3 linked regions of the Arabidopsis thaliana genome follow. The protein of the gene in region 2 interacts with the protein of the main gene of each other region in a pairwise test. Each region holds a gene or a part of one and is shown on either strand. Other genes may lie near its edges.

The links.
Region 1: the proteins of ICK6 (region 2) and CYCA3;4 interact in a protein complementation assay, tested with the Arabidopsis thaliana proteins (one large-scale study listed by BioGRID).
Region 3: the proteins of ICK6 (region 2) and CYCA2;4 interact in a two-hybrid assay, tested with the Arabidopsis thaliana proteins (one large-scale study listed by BioGRID).

The regions. Positions count from the first base shown.
Region 1 is NC_003070.9:17,304,681-17,308,437, forward strand, and holds the start of CYCA3;4 (CYCLIN A3;4), read left to right. Parts: upstream 1-1,896; 5' UTR 1,897-2,071; coding exon 2,072-2,392; intron 2,393-2,664; coding exon 2,665-2,897; intron 2,898-2,991; coding exon 2,992-3,147; intron 3,148-3,247; coding exon 3,248-3,281; intron 3,282-3,371; coding exon 3,372-3,521; intron 3,522-3,603; coding exon 3,604-3,738; intron 3,739-3,757. Other genes in the region: CYCA3;3 (Cyclin A3;3), read left to right, coding at 1-125, 224-358, 443-517.
Region 2 is NC_003076.8:19,792,247-19,796,003, reverse strand, and holds ICK6 (inhibitor/interactor with cyclin-dependent kinase), read left to right. Parts: upstream 1-1,595; 5' UTR 1,596-1,657; coding exon 1,658-2,088; intron 2,089-2,270; coding exon 2,271-2,297; intron 2,298-3,053; coding exon 3,054-3,248; intron 3,249-3,326; coding exon 3,327-3,396; 3' UTR 3,397-3,734; downstream 3,735-3,757. UniProt on the Arabidopsis thaliana protein: Binds and inhibits CYCD2-1/CDKA-1 complex kinase activity. May target specifically CDKA-1.
Region 3 is NC_003070.9:30,211,626-30,215,382, reverse strand, and holds the start of CYCA2;4 (Cyclin A2;4), read right to left. Parts: upstream 1,679-3,757; 5' UTR 1,547-1,678; intron 760-1,546; 5' UTR 690-759; coding exon 414-689; intron 318-413; coding exon 89-317; intron 1-88.

The sequences.
Region 1 (3,757 bases), on a different chromosome or scaffold from region 2:
TTTGTTGCTATCTGTCAGAACTAAGTATGTTAGATTATAGTTGTGTGAAGTTTGTTCCATCTTTGTTGGCTGCTTCTGCTGTCTTTCTCGCTCGATTCATCATCCTTCCTAACCAACATCCTTGGGTAAGAACTTTTGTCTCAATCTCTCTTTTTCAGGTTTATATGTTGAGTTAATCTTTTGAATGAGACACTAATAATCTATGGCTTGTAATGTAAAACAGAGTCAAATGTTGGAAGAATGCACAAAGTACAAAGCGGCTGATCTACAAGTGTGTGTGGAGATCATGCTTGACTTGTACCTGAGCAGAAGTGAAGGTGCTTCAAAAGCTGTTAGAGAGAAATACAAGCAACATAAGGTAATTGACATATTACAAATTATGAAATCATTTGATTTAATTAGTAGTATCATTTATACTTAAATGTTGCTTTTTATGGTACAGTTCCAATACGTTGCGGCAATTCCTGTCTACCAAGAGCTTCCGGTTACCTTTTGGGAGGATGTTGTTACCATTTGATCAGAACCAATCTTTCATTTCCCAATTGTTACTGAGCTCGATTACTAAGGGACACTGATCAACAGTTGAAGCTAGAGGAGTCATATGTTATATGTATCGAAGTGAAGCAGGAGCAAATAATTTGTGTTGTGAAGATGTATTGTGTTATTACTTGATTAACATTGTGGTGACAAATTAATGTGTTACTCTGGAAATTTATACGATTATGCAATATGATAAGAAGTATTTTATGTGACATGATTTTATTTGTTTAATCATTGAGCCTCCTATGACAAAATTTATAAGTTCCTAGAAGGCCAAAACTTTAGTAGTCAATAATTTACTTCAAATGGTATCGAAACCAGATGAATGGGAAGACATGACAAGATAAGCCTTTAGACTTGCTATGATCCTTGACAAAAACAAAACAAAACAGAAATTGTTCATTTAAGTCAATAAAAAGGCAATTTCTACAAGTGAACCCTTATTGGAAAGATTATTTGGTAGAATTGGTCTGGTCATTTCCAACATACGTTTATTAGATAATAACAGATAGGCGGATCATATAAGATAGAGTTGTCAAATCGGGGTGTCCATGTCCATTAGCCCAATCCAATAATGTCTATTTTGATATTGGACGAACATAGTCCGTATCCATTAACACCTTTGTCCAATCCAATAATGTCCATTTTAATATTCGATTTTTCCTCAAATCGATTTAACCTAACATTATAAGACTATTGGGCCGCCCATGTCCATCATATCTACTCTGCTAAAGTTCATATCCGTTAACGACTATAACCATTAAAGCCCGTTTTATAATGGCTTTATCCATGACTCGGTCCATTAAGTATTGGACGCAGGCAGCCCACGGGCCGCACACCCATTTTGACAACTCTAATATAAGATAAGTGTCCGTTGGTGTCAATTATTTTTGTTAAATTAATAGCTGAATTTGTCGAAAAAATTATATAGGAAATGGTGTTAAATGAATTCCTAGTTCAATGATTTTTTTTTATTATTGTTTAGACAAAATATTTTCATATGGTTTAGTGGATTTATTTTTCTGTATCCAAAAAAAAATCAAAAATGTAAAACTAAACCCAAAAAAAGTATAAAAAAAAAACAAATGCAAAACCGATTTTTTTTTAAATTTTTTAAAAGCATCTCACTTAATTCCGAATCTTAACCAAAACCGAAAAAAAAACAAATCAACTACTAATAATTTCCTTAATTAAAAGCATTCATTGATTGTTATTTTCATCTTTAATTAAGTGAATAAAACAATAATGATTGTCTAAATATAGGAGTGAAACTTTTTGAAGGGTAAAAAGGAGAAAACAGCCGCCAAATAAATGTGGAAATGAAATCTGCAAAAAAGCCCCAAATTTTGGATACTCAAAAGTCAAATCCCTAAAAATTTCGAAATCGGAAAATTTACACAGAGAAGCGCCATGACCTAAAAATCTCAAAACTTCCCCAACAAAAATGGCGCTTTTACTCAACCCATTTCCTTTTACCTACCTTGTACATTACCCCTTTTCTCAAATCTCACTTTCCCACTGAAATAACCCCATGGCGGAGAATCAGAACTGTGCGAGGATGACGAGAGCGGCGGCGAAACGAAAAGCGTCGTCCATGGCGTTAGACGAAAACCCAGTTAGTAAGAAGAGAGTTGTTCTCGGAGAGCTTCCGAATATGTCCAATGTCGTTGCTGTACCCAATCAAGAAAGAGAGACCCTTAAGGCTAAAACAAGTGTTAATACCTCGAAGAGGCAGATGAAGAAGGCTTTGATGATTCCTGAAGCTAGCGTACTAATCGAATCGAGATCTGTTGATCCTCAGATGTGTGAGCCTTTTGCTAGTGATATTTGTGCTTATCTCCGTGAAATGGAGGTAAAAAAAAAATCATCTTTAGTAGATTTCTTGATTCCATCATTTTTGATCTTAGTGATCTTATGGTATCAGTTTATGTTATTTTGGAATTGGTACAGTGTTGGACTTGATATTGATTAATGGGTTTGGTTAAAGTTGTGGATTTGATAAGTTTCTGAGATTTTGTCCAATCACAGCTTGCTCTTATGGTTATATGATATGTTTGGAGAAATTAGAGATGATTGATACTTTGGGACTAATGGTTATTGTTTTTGGATTGGTAAAATTTTCAGGGGAAGCCGAAACATAGACCACTACCTGATTATATTGAAAAGGTTCAGAGTGATTTAACTCCACACATGAGAGCGGTTTTGGTGGATTGGTTAGTGGAGGTTGCTGAGGAGTACAAGCTTGTTTCGGATACGCTTTATCTCACTATCTCCTATGTTGATAGATTCTTGTCTGTGAAGCCTATTAACAGGCAGAAGCTTCAGCTTGTGGGAGTTTCTGCAATGCTTATTGCGTCGTAAGCATCTTAATCCTCTTTGTTTATTGTTGTGTTGGTGTGAAGAGTCTTAGATGGTTGGCTTATGGAATCTTTATTTTTGCTTTTAAAAAAGTAGGAAATATGAAGAGATAGGTCCTCCTAAAGTTGAAGATTTTTGTTACATTACGGATAATACATTTACTAAACAAGAAGTGGTGTCGATGGAGGCGGATATACTTCTTGCTCTGCAGTTTGAATTAGGAAGCCCAACCATCAAAACATTCCTAAGGTTCGACTCTGAAACAGTCTGGTGTTTAAACTTATGATTTCATGGTTTTACTTGCCCTTGTTTTGATTGTTATTCTCTTTTTTATGTCGTGTTTGTGCAGACGGTTTACACGGGTTGCACAAGAAGATTTCAAAGTAAGCTCAAAATCGATGTACCTGTAAACTGTGGCATTTGCATCTCATAATTTCTATTGTTAAATCTTCTTTTTTTTCATGCCTTTGCAGGACTCACAATTGCAGATAGAGTTCCTTTGTTGCTATCTATCAGAATTGAGTATGTTAGATTACACCTGTGTGAAGTATTTGCCATCTCTTTTGTCTGCTTCAGCTGTATTTCTTGCCCGGTTCATCATCCGTCCAAAACAACATCCTTGGGTAAGCAAATTAAGAACCATGACAGGTTCTTATACAGAAAAAGTTCTTTATATTCTAAATCCTCTTCTGGTGATGCAAACAGAATCAAATGCTAGAAGAATACACAAAGTACAAAGCAGCTGATCTACAAGTGTGCGTGGGTATCATACATGACTTGTATCTAAGCAGAAGAGGAAACACTCTAGAAGCTGTTAGAAATAAGTACAAGCAACACAAGGTAAATTCAACAATTCAAT
Region 2 (3,757 bases):
TGAAATCATACCTTTCTTTGCATATACCACATAAAATGCCAATGAATCAAAATTCATCACAAGAAGCAATCATCACTAGTAGCTGATGTGTATATGTAGACGTCTCTTTAGGGTTTTTACAACAATCTCCATGGAATTTTCGATCAACATGTTTTATTAAATCATATTGATTTTTTATTATTTTATGTTTTAAGGTAAATAAGAAATTGTTTATTTTCTTCTTTGTAAACTATTGTCGGATCATATATTTATGTGATGTAGAAGCCATGTTATCGTGTACAATGCGTGTTAAAACTTAAAATTGTGAAACTTTTGTATGTAATAATGATTGATTGACTAATTGATTTTAAAAGATAGAAAATATATAAATTATGGGTCCACATGGTAATTTTATAAAGAAAAAATCCCGGATTTTTTCTATTTAATCGAGAAATATAGATAATGATATACAAAAATTGGTGATTTTTTGTGAAATGTCAGTTGACTAGAAATTTGAAACAATTCTTATCAATGTATTTTTAAAAATATCATGTTTAATATGTAAGTTTAATATTCATTAGTGTGCATAATGTAAGAATAATTACTAATTTACATAAATATTTTCTCTTATATGTGAAAGTATTTAACTACTGATTTATTGATATACAATGAAAAAGTATGGGCTATTAACTTTATATGATTTCAATAATTTTTATGATTAATATATTTGATAAAAATGATAAATAATAAATCATTATTTTAAAAGAAACATGTATATCCAACAAAAAAAGCCGTGTGTAATACGCGTTGGTTCAAAGGGTAATTTAACTATGGAAAATAGTCCTAGATTTATTTTTGTTAAATTGAGAAATAAAAATCATTATATACCAAAATTGTAAACTTAGCAATTTTTTGGTGCAATTTCCGTTGACTCGATTTTTTGGAAAAAGTCTGTCAATTTCAAAGAAAAAATATTATGTTTAAATACTTAAGTTGAATATTTATTCGTGTGCATAATAATAATTTATTTTTCGTATAAACATTTTTTATTCTATGTGAATGTATGTAACTAGTTGTTTGTTGTTACATGTTAAAAGTATGTACTATTAAGTTTATATGGTTTCAATAAAAAAAATTCAATACTTTTTATGATGAAATTATTTGATAAAATTTAAATAAATGAAAATTGTTTTTTTAACAACAAACCGATCATATTAATGAGAATTTATTTTAAAATAGAAAAGCCGTATGCAATACACGTTATATTTAATAGAAAATTCGTAGTCAAATGATGAATTTAATTAGCAGTTTAATTTTTAAGAAGTTAAAGATTTAGTCAAATGATGAATTTAAATTTATTCGACAACAAAAATTATCAATAAATCAAAAATGTAAAACTGACGATTATTCTATGAAAAGTGAAAACACAACGGAAAATACAAATAATAATGATGAGTTTGGGGTTTTATTTAAAAATAATAATAATAATAATATTGTTTTTGACAATTAGATAAAAAAGGTAAACTTTTTTTTTCTTCTCCTTTGTTTTATTTTAACCCCACAAAACTCGAAAACCTTTTTCCCATTTTCTCACTTTCCCTCTTCTTCTCCTCCCTCAAAGCTTTTCCCTCTCATTTTTCTCTTTCCGCTTTCAAGCTTCTTTTCCCTCTCTCAAAAAATGGGGAAATACATGAAGAAATCAAAGATAACTGGCGATATCAGCGTCATGGAAGTCTCTAAAGCAACAGCTCCAAGTCCAGGTGTTCGAACCAGAGCCGCTAAAACCCTAGCCTTGAAGCGGCTTAATTCCTCCGCCGCTGATTCAGCTCTACCTAACGACTCTTCTTGCTATCTTCAGCTCCGTAGCCGCCGTCTCGAGAAACCCTCTTCGCTGATTGAACCGAAACAGCCGCCGAGAGTTCACAGATCGGGAATTAAAGAGTCTGGTTCCAGGTCTCGCGTTGACTCGGTTAACTCGGTTCCTGTAGCTCAGAGCTCTAATGAAGATGAATGTTTTGACAATTTCGTGAGTGTCCAAGTTTCTTGTGGTGAAAACAGTCTCGGTTTTGAATCAAGACACAGGTTCGTTGTTTTTTTTTTTTTTTTTTTGTGCCCTAATGTTTTCTTATTACCAATTCGACTTTTGTGTTCTGTCTTATCCAATAATCTTAGTTTTGAGTCTTACATAGTTTTGAATCTTAGTTAGGTTTCTCTGAAACTTTTGTTGTTTGCTTCAAATCAATTTTTTTTTTTTTGGGGGATGAAAATAGTTTAGTACAAGAGAAAAATAGGTTTTTTATGTTTCCCTTATTGGTTTGGTTTTTGTTTATGAATTGACTCTCTTGTGATGTACTGAATTTTGTTATTACTACTTCTCCGTATAAGTCTCTTTTGGTGTTAGATTTACATTATATCTGATTTATTGCTGTATGTCCCATGTGTACTTCATTGCAGAGATTATCAATGAATGTGTCAAAGCTATTTTCGTTTTATATATGTATTTCATTATTTGTTACAAATTTGGTGAAACTCTGATCTGTTTTTGTGTATTTTAATTTGTTTAAGAACATGTTGATTCTCCTTGTTATTAGGCTAATGGCATAAGAAGTATTTGTACATTGGGTATACAATATTGGGATTTGGTTATTGGGGGTTTACTTAAACACATGGTTTTCGTTTTTACAAAAGTGGGTTGTTGTATAAAGGTCAGAAACTTTTAATATGTAAGATTATATGAGAATTGGGACTTTCCTCATAAGTGTAATGCAAGTACTGTGGTGTCATGTTCATGGGACCTAGTGGTTTTTGCATACTTGGGGAATACTTTTGTAGGATCCTCTGTTTTTTGGGGTAACCGTCCTGCTGCTAGTTGACAATGTGGTGATTGCCTTCTCTTTGTTATTTATTATCTTATGGGACCATATTACTTAGAAAGTCTCTAGCTTTTGTTGTTTACTTAAACCAAGCCTCTTTTTTATTCTGGATGTTTGGTTTTGGTTTGATTCTTGATTTGGTTAAGTGTCTTTGTGGTGATAATGTTATTGAAGTTATTTTATCTGTGTTTTTTTCTGCAGCACAAGGGAGAGCACGCCTTGTAACTTTGTTGAGGATATGGAGATCATGGTTACACCAGGGTCTAGCACGAGGTCGATGTGCAGAGCAACCAAAGAGTACACAAGGGAACAAGATAACGTGATCCCGACCACTAGTGAAATGGAGGAGTTCTTTGCATATGCAGAGCAGCAGCAACAGAGGCTATTCATGGAGAAGTAAGCTTATTCTTTATTTTATTTTTGTGTCATTACGAAGAGGGTGAACAACACTCATGTGTTTTCAATAATCTTCAGGTACAACTTCGACATTGTGAATGATATCCCCCTCAGCGGACGTTACGAATGGGTGCAAGTCAAACCATGAAGTTCAAAAGGAAACAGCTCCAAAAGACATGGTGTGAAGTTAGAGAATGTGATGGAGTTAACAGACTAACCAAACATCAGAAATCGTGTAATCTTAAGTAATAATGTGGTTAGAGAACAAGTTTGAGAGTAGCTTAGGGACCTTAAAACCTCACACCATTTGTACTACTAATCTTCTTCAGATGCTTAGTGAAATTTTCTCATCTGTTTCTTTCAAGTGTTTGTTTTTCTATCTATCTCTCATGTTTATTCAAAGCTATATGTAATGATGATGATTGAGAGGGATGTGTGTGAACATGTTTAAGCTTGGCATATAGTGAAAAAAATGATTCAGATGCAGAAGAAAGAGACCCAATTGAGAG
Region 3 (3,757 bases), on a different chromosome or scaffold from region 2:
TGTAAACCATTTGCAAGAATAAAGATGCATCAGAAATGTTATACATTGCCCACTCAAGCTTCAGTAAATGACCATTTATAAAATTCACCTGTCCCAAAGGGTCTTGGAGGCGATCTGGAGCTTGGCTTTGCGATAATGCTATAGGATGTTTCGTTTGTGCCTAAGCTTGTATCTGTAAAAACAGACAAGCTTGCTCCTGCTGAATTTGACACAACTTCTACCTTTGCATCTGTAACTTGTGAAGTAGCCGAAGAAGATGCCACCTTGGAAGAAGAAGAACTCTGTCGTCCCTTCTTTATCTGCTTGATATTCTCCACCTAAGTAAAAAGAAGAAGCAACAATTGTCAGCAAAAACATACTTCTTGTCATATAAACTTAGCAATTCTAAAATGCTGCATTGTGTAGTTAACAACCGCAACACTGAAGCAACTTGTGTAAGAATTCTCGCAGGTAACATTAGTGATATCCTTAAGAACAGCTCGCTTCTTAGGTGCATTGGCTTTCTTCTCATCCAAGGCTGTTCTTTTACTCTTTGCTCTAAGAACCCGTCCCTGGTTCTGTGTTGTAGCAGCCACTTCAGAAGATGTTATCAGCTTAGAAGAAGCACGCAGAGCAGAGGCAAGAGCACGAGTTACAGGGCGACCATGGATTGGTATAGAGTTTCCAGAAACAGCATTCTCCTTCCCCATGATTGAAACCCTTTGACACGATCCAACCCTTTTCTAACGTTTGGGACTTAGCACCACATTAACTCTCGATCTGTGAATTTGAAGTCAAGAGAAATCGAAGATCAATGGCATGAAGATTAAACAAAACAGAGAGATATATATTTATCTATGCAGAGTCCAATGCATATAAGATGTTTGGAGAAATTGTTTATTCTAAACGAGGATTGTTTATCTGATCATTCATGACTAGACAAATAATTGCAACACGTACTTGTTGTTTAAGTTCGTCGAATCAAGTTCCAAAGTTTCAAGTCAGATTCAAGTTGAAAGAACAAGTCTTTGTGAATTACAATTTACTTGTTGACAAAAACTTGAAAACTGTAATGCAGAAAACCCTCAACGCTCGAAAGAAAAAGTCTTAGCAATTTTAGCAAAGACGGGAGCGACTTGCGCAGAATTTGGAGATAATTAAATTTGAAGAAAAAATTAGTAAAGTTTCTAAATTTCTTTCATGGGTTTTTATATAAAAATGTTTATCCATAAGAAATAGGAACAAGAAAAGGAACGACTAGATCAAATTTCTTCTGAGGATAACGAAAAGACCCATGATTTAAAGCTGCAAGATCTCCCAAAAAAACCTATCGATCCGTTCGTTAAAAAAAAAAGTAATCAAAGTCACATTTTCTTTAATCCAAGAAAAATCCGAGTGACCCATGAACCAAAAAAGCTTCAAAACCAAGATAAAGTTTCAAGAAACCCTCCAGGAGAACCGCCTCAAAAAAAAGAACAGAGGGTCGGCATAAAAATAATATCATCACATTTCACAAGCAAAATAAAACAGAGAAGATGGAGATAGAGAGACTAAGATAGAAACTTACTACGCTCCAGAAATTTCTTCAAGAAGAAGAAGAAGAAAAAAAGTCTTTTTTTTTTTCTTTATTAATTTGGGGAAATGAGCTCTACGAACAGAAAAGATGGGAGCTTGGGCAGATCGAGAGAGTAAATGGGTTATAGTCAATTCGCTTTTATGCAAAGGGACTGTCTCTGAGAGTGAGCGGGATATAGAATGGTTTAAAGATATAAGTTTTATATTCTTTTCTTTTCTGTATATAAAAATAGAAACTTTATTTTTATTAGAGAAAGAAGTGTTTGTTTATGTGCTTATAACGCAACTCATTGACTGTTTGACCATAAAACAAGGGGATAAAGAAAGAGCTAACACTACAGTTTAGTTTGCTTGGGATTTTTTTTGATAAGTAATTTGTGGTTAATCTTTTCAATTTGGTACGTGATTGAACATAGATTTTTCTTTAGATTTTGGTAACTAATCATTTACCTTATTTTCACCCATTGCTAGTTTGGGTTCTGTGTCATTTCCATTTCTCCATTAACCTGTTGTATGTAATTAATGATGCAGATTTTGTTTTTCTTCTCTCTGTTCGAATGTTTTTTTTATATTTACTTTTTGTATTAAAGTAAAAGAACGATAGAGAGGAGGAATAGTTACGTTTTCCAAGAAATGTGTCATAATTTATTTACATAGATAGTAACAGCGCATTTTTTAAAGACAGTAACAGCGTGGCTATTCATCCAAAGGTAAATAAAAATGATTAAATTACAAAAAACTCTGTTCAAATTTTGAAGATTTGAAGAAAGATTCCACCATTTATTTTTTTAATGGTAAAGTTTTTAACTTTTGAATAGAAAAACTAACTAGTAGTAAAAAAAAAAAAAAAAAAAAGACCAAATGCACGTTTACCCCAGAATCACTCTTCTGATATTTATATTTACGTTTCTATGTGTCTTTTAATATTCCTTAATGCTTATTTGGACTCCACATGCATGTTAAGTAAGAATCCATCCATAAATTCTACACTATCCTTTCAAATTTTTAAACATTTTGTAGAAACTTAAAGAACCCGTTTCTATTTCTATAGGATTTGCTCCGTTTTAAAATCATACTTACGACGCTCCCGTGGTCTTTGTATACTATTGAGTAAAAAGATAACATGCATTATGTGATACTAACACTTTCTTTATTTCGTGTAAAACAAAACTTATGTCTAATTTTCTCATCGGTTACTTTGACCAAATCTACGTGAAATAAAACTTGGAGAGTTTTTTCTGCGATTAAACGTTATATACAACACTCTTTTTAAATAATACTAGGAGTTATGAAAACTGTATTAGATCTCATTGTACTTGACATAATCAGTTTAGAATTAAAAAAAACTTAATTTAAAACAAAAAGAAAATATGATAATAATTACTTTTGATGCTTAGATCCGCAGGATCCACTTAGAAAAAGAAAAGATACTTAGGACATGAACAAATAATTAAGTGGTGGAATCTGCCATTTCAGGTCTTGTTATGTTTAAGACCTTGGTAATCTTGTATGTTATACATTATTTCACATCTTACCTATAGCCGTTTTATCAAAATATAGCAGAAGTTATTTTATTTTTTTAATATTTTTTTGTTTGATATATTTTCTTATTCAGAATTATCTTTGTTTTCAAACTTAATTATTTATTTTTGCTGTTGTTTCGCGTTTGAAGCAATTCAATTACGAGTTTTAACAAAAACAAAAAGAAGAAGTTCGAAAAACTATCAGATTTGAAATGAAAATGACAAATCTTTTAAAGTTAAAGTTGAGTCTATTTTGTTCGGTAGTACGTGAAAGGGCAGTAAAGTCTACTGATTAAGTCAAAACTTTCATATGAAACTTTGATGTTAAGTGATATAATCGAAGAAAGCATCACAAACAAACAAAAGTATCCTTGGGATAATTATTTATATACAACGCACGAGTAATTCAAAAGCTACAGTGAGGAGCTATAACCAATAGTCTCACTTACCACATGGGAAGTTACATAATCAAAGCTCATGGATTTCAAATTTAGGATATATACAGTATGTTCTATTGTATATGTATTGGACTAATGCGTTAAAGCTGTTATAGTGTGAGAAGGACGTAACGAGAGGTCTTCGTGGACCTAATAATAATAACGTTTTACGGTTTTATCCAAAGACCAAAAAGCTACTAGATCTACGATTCAAACCAACACGCATAAAGATGAAAATTAAAT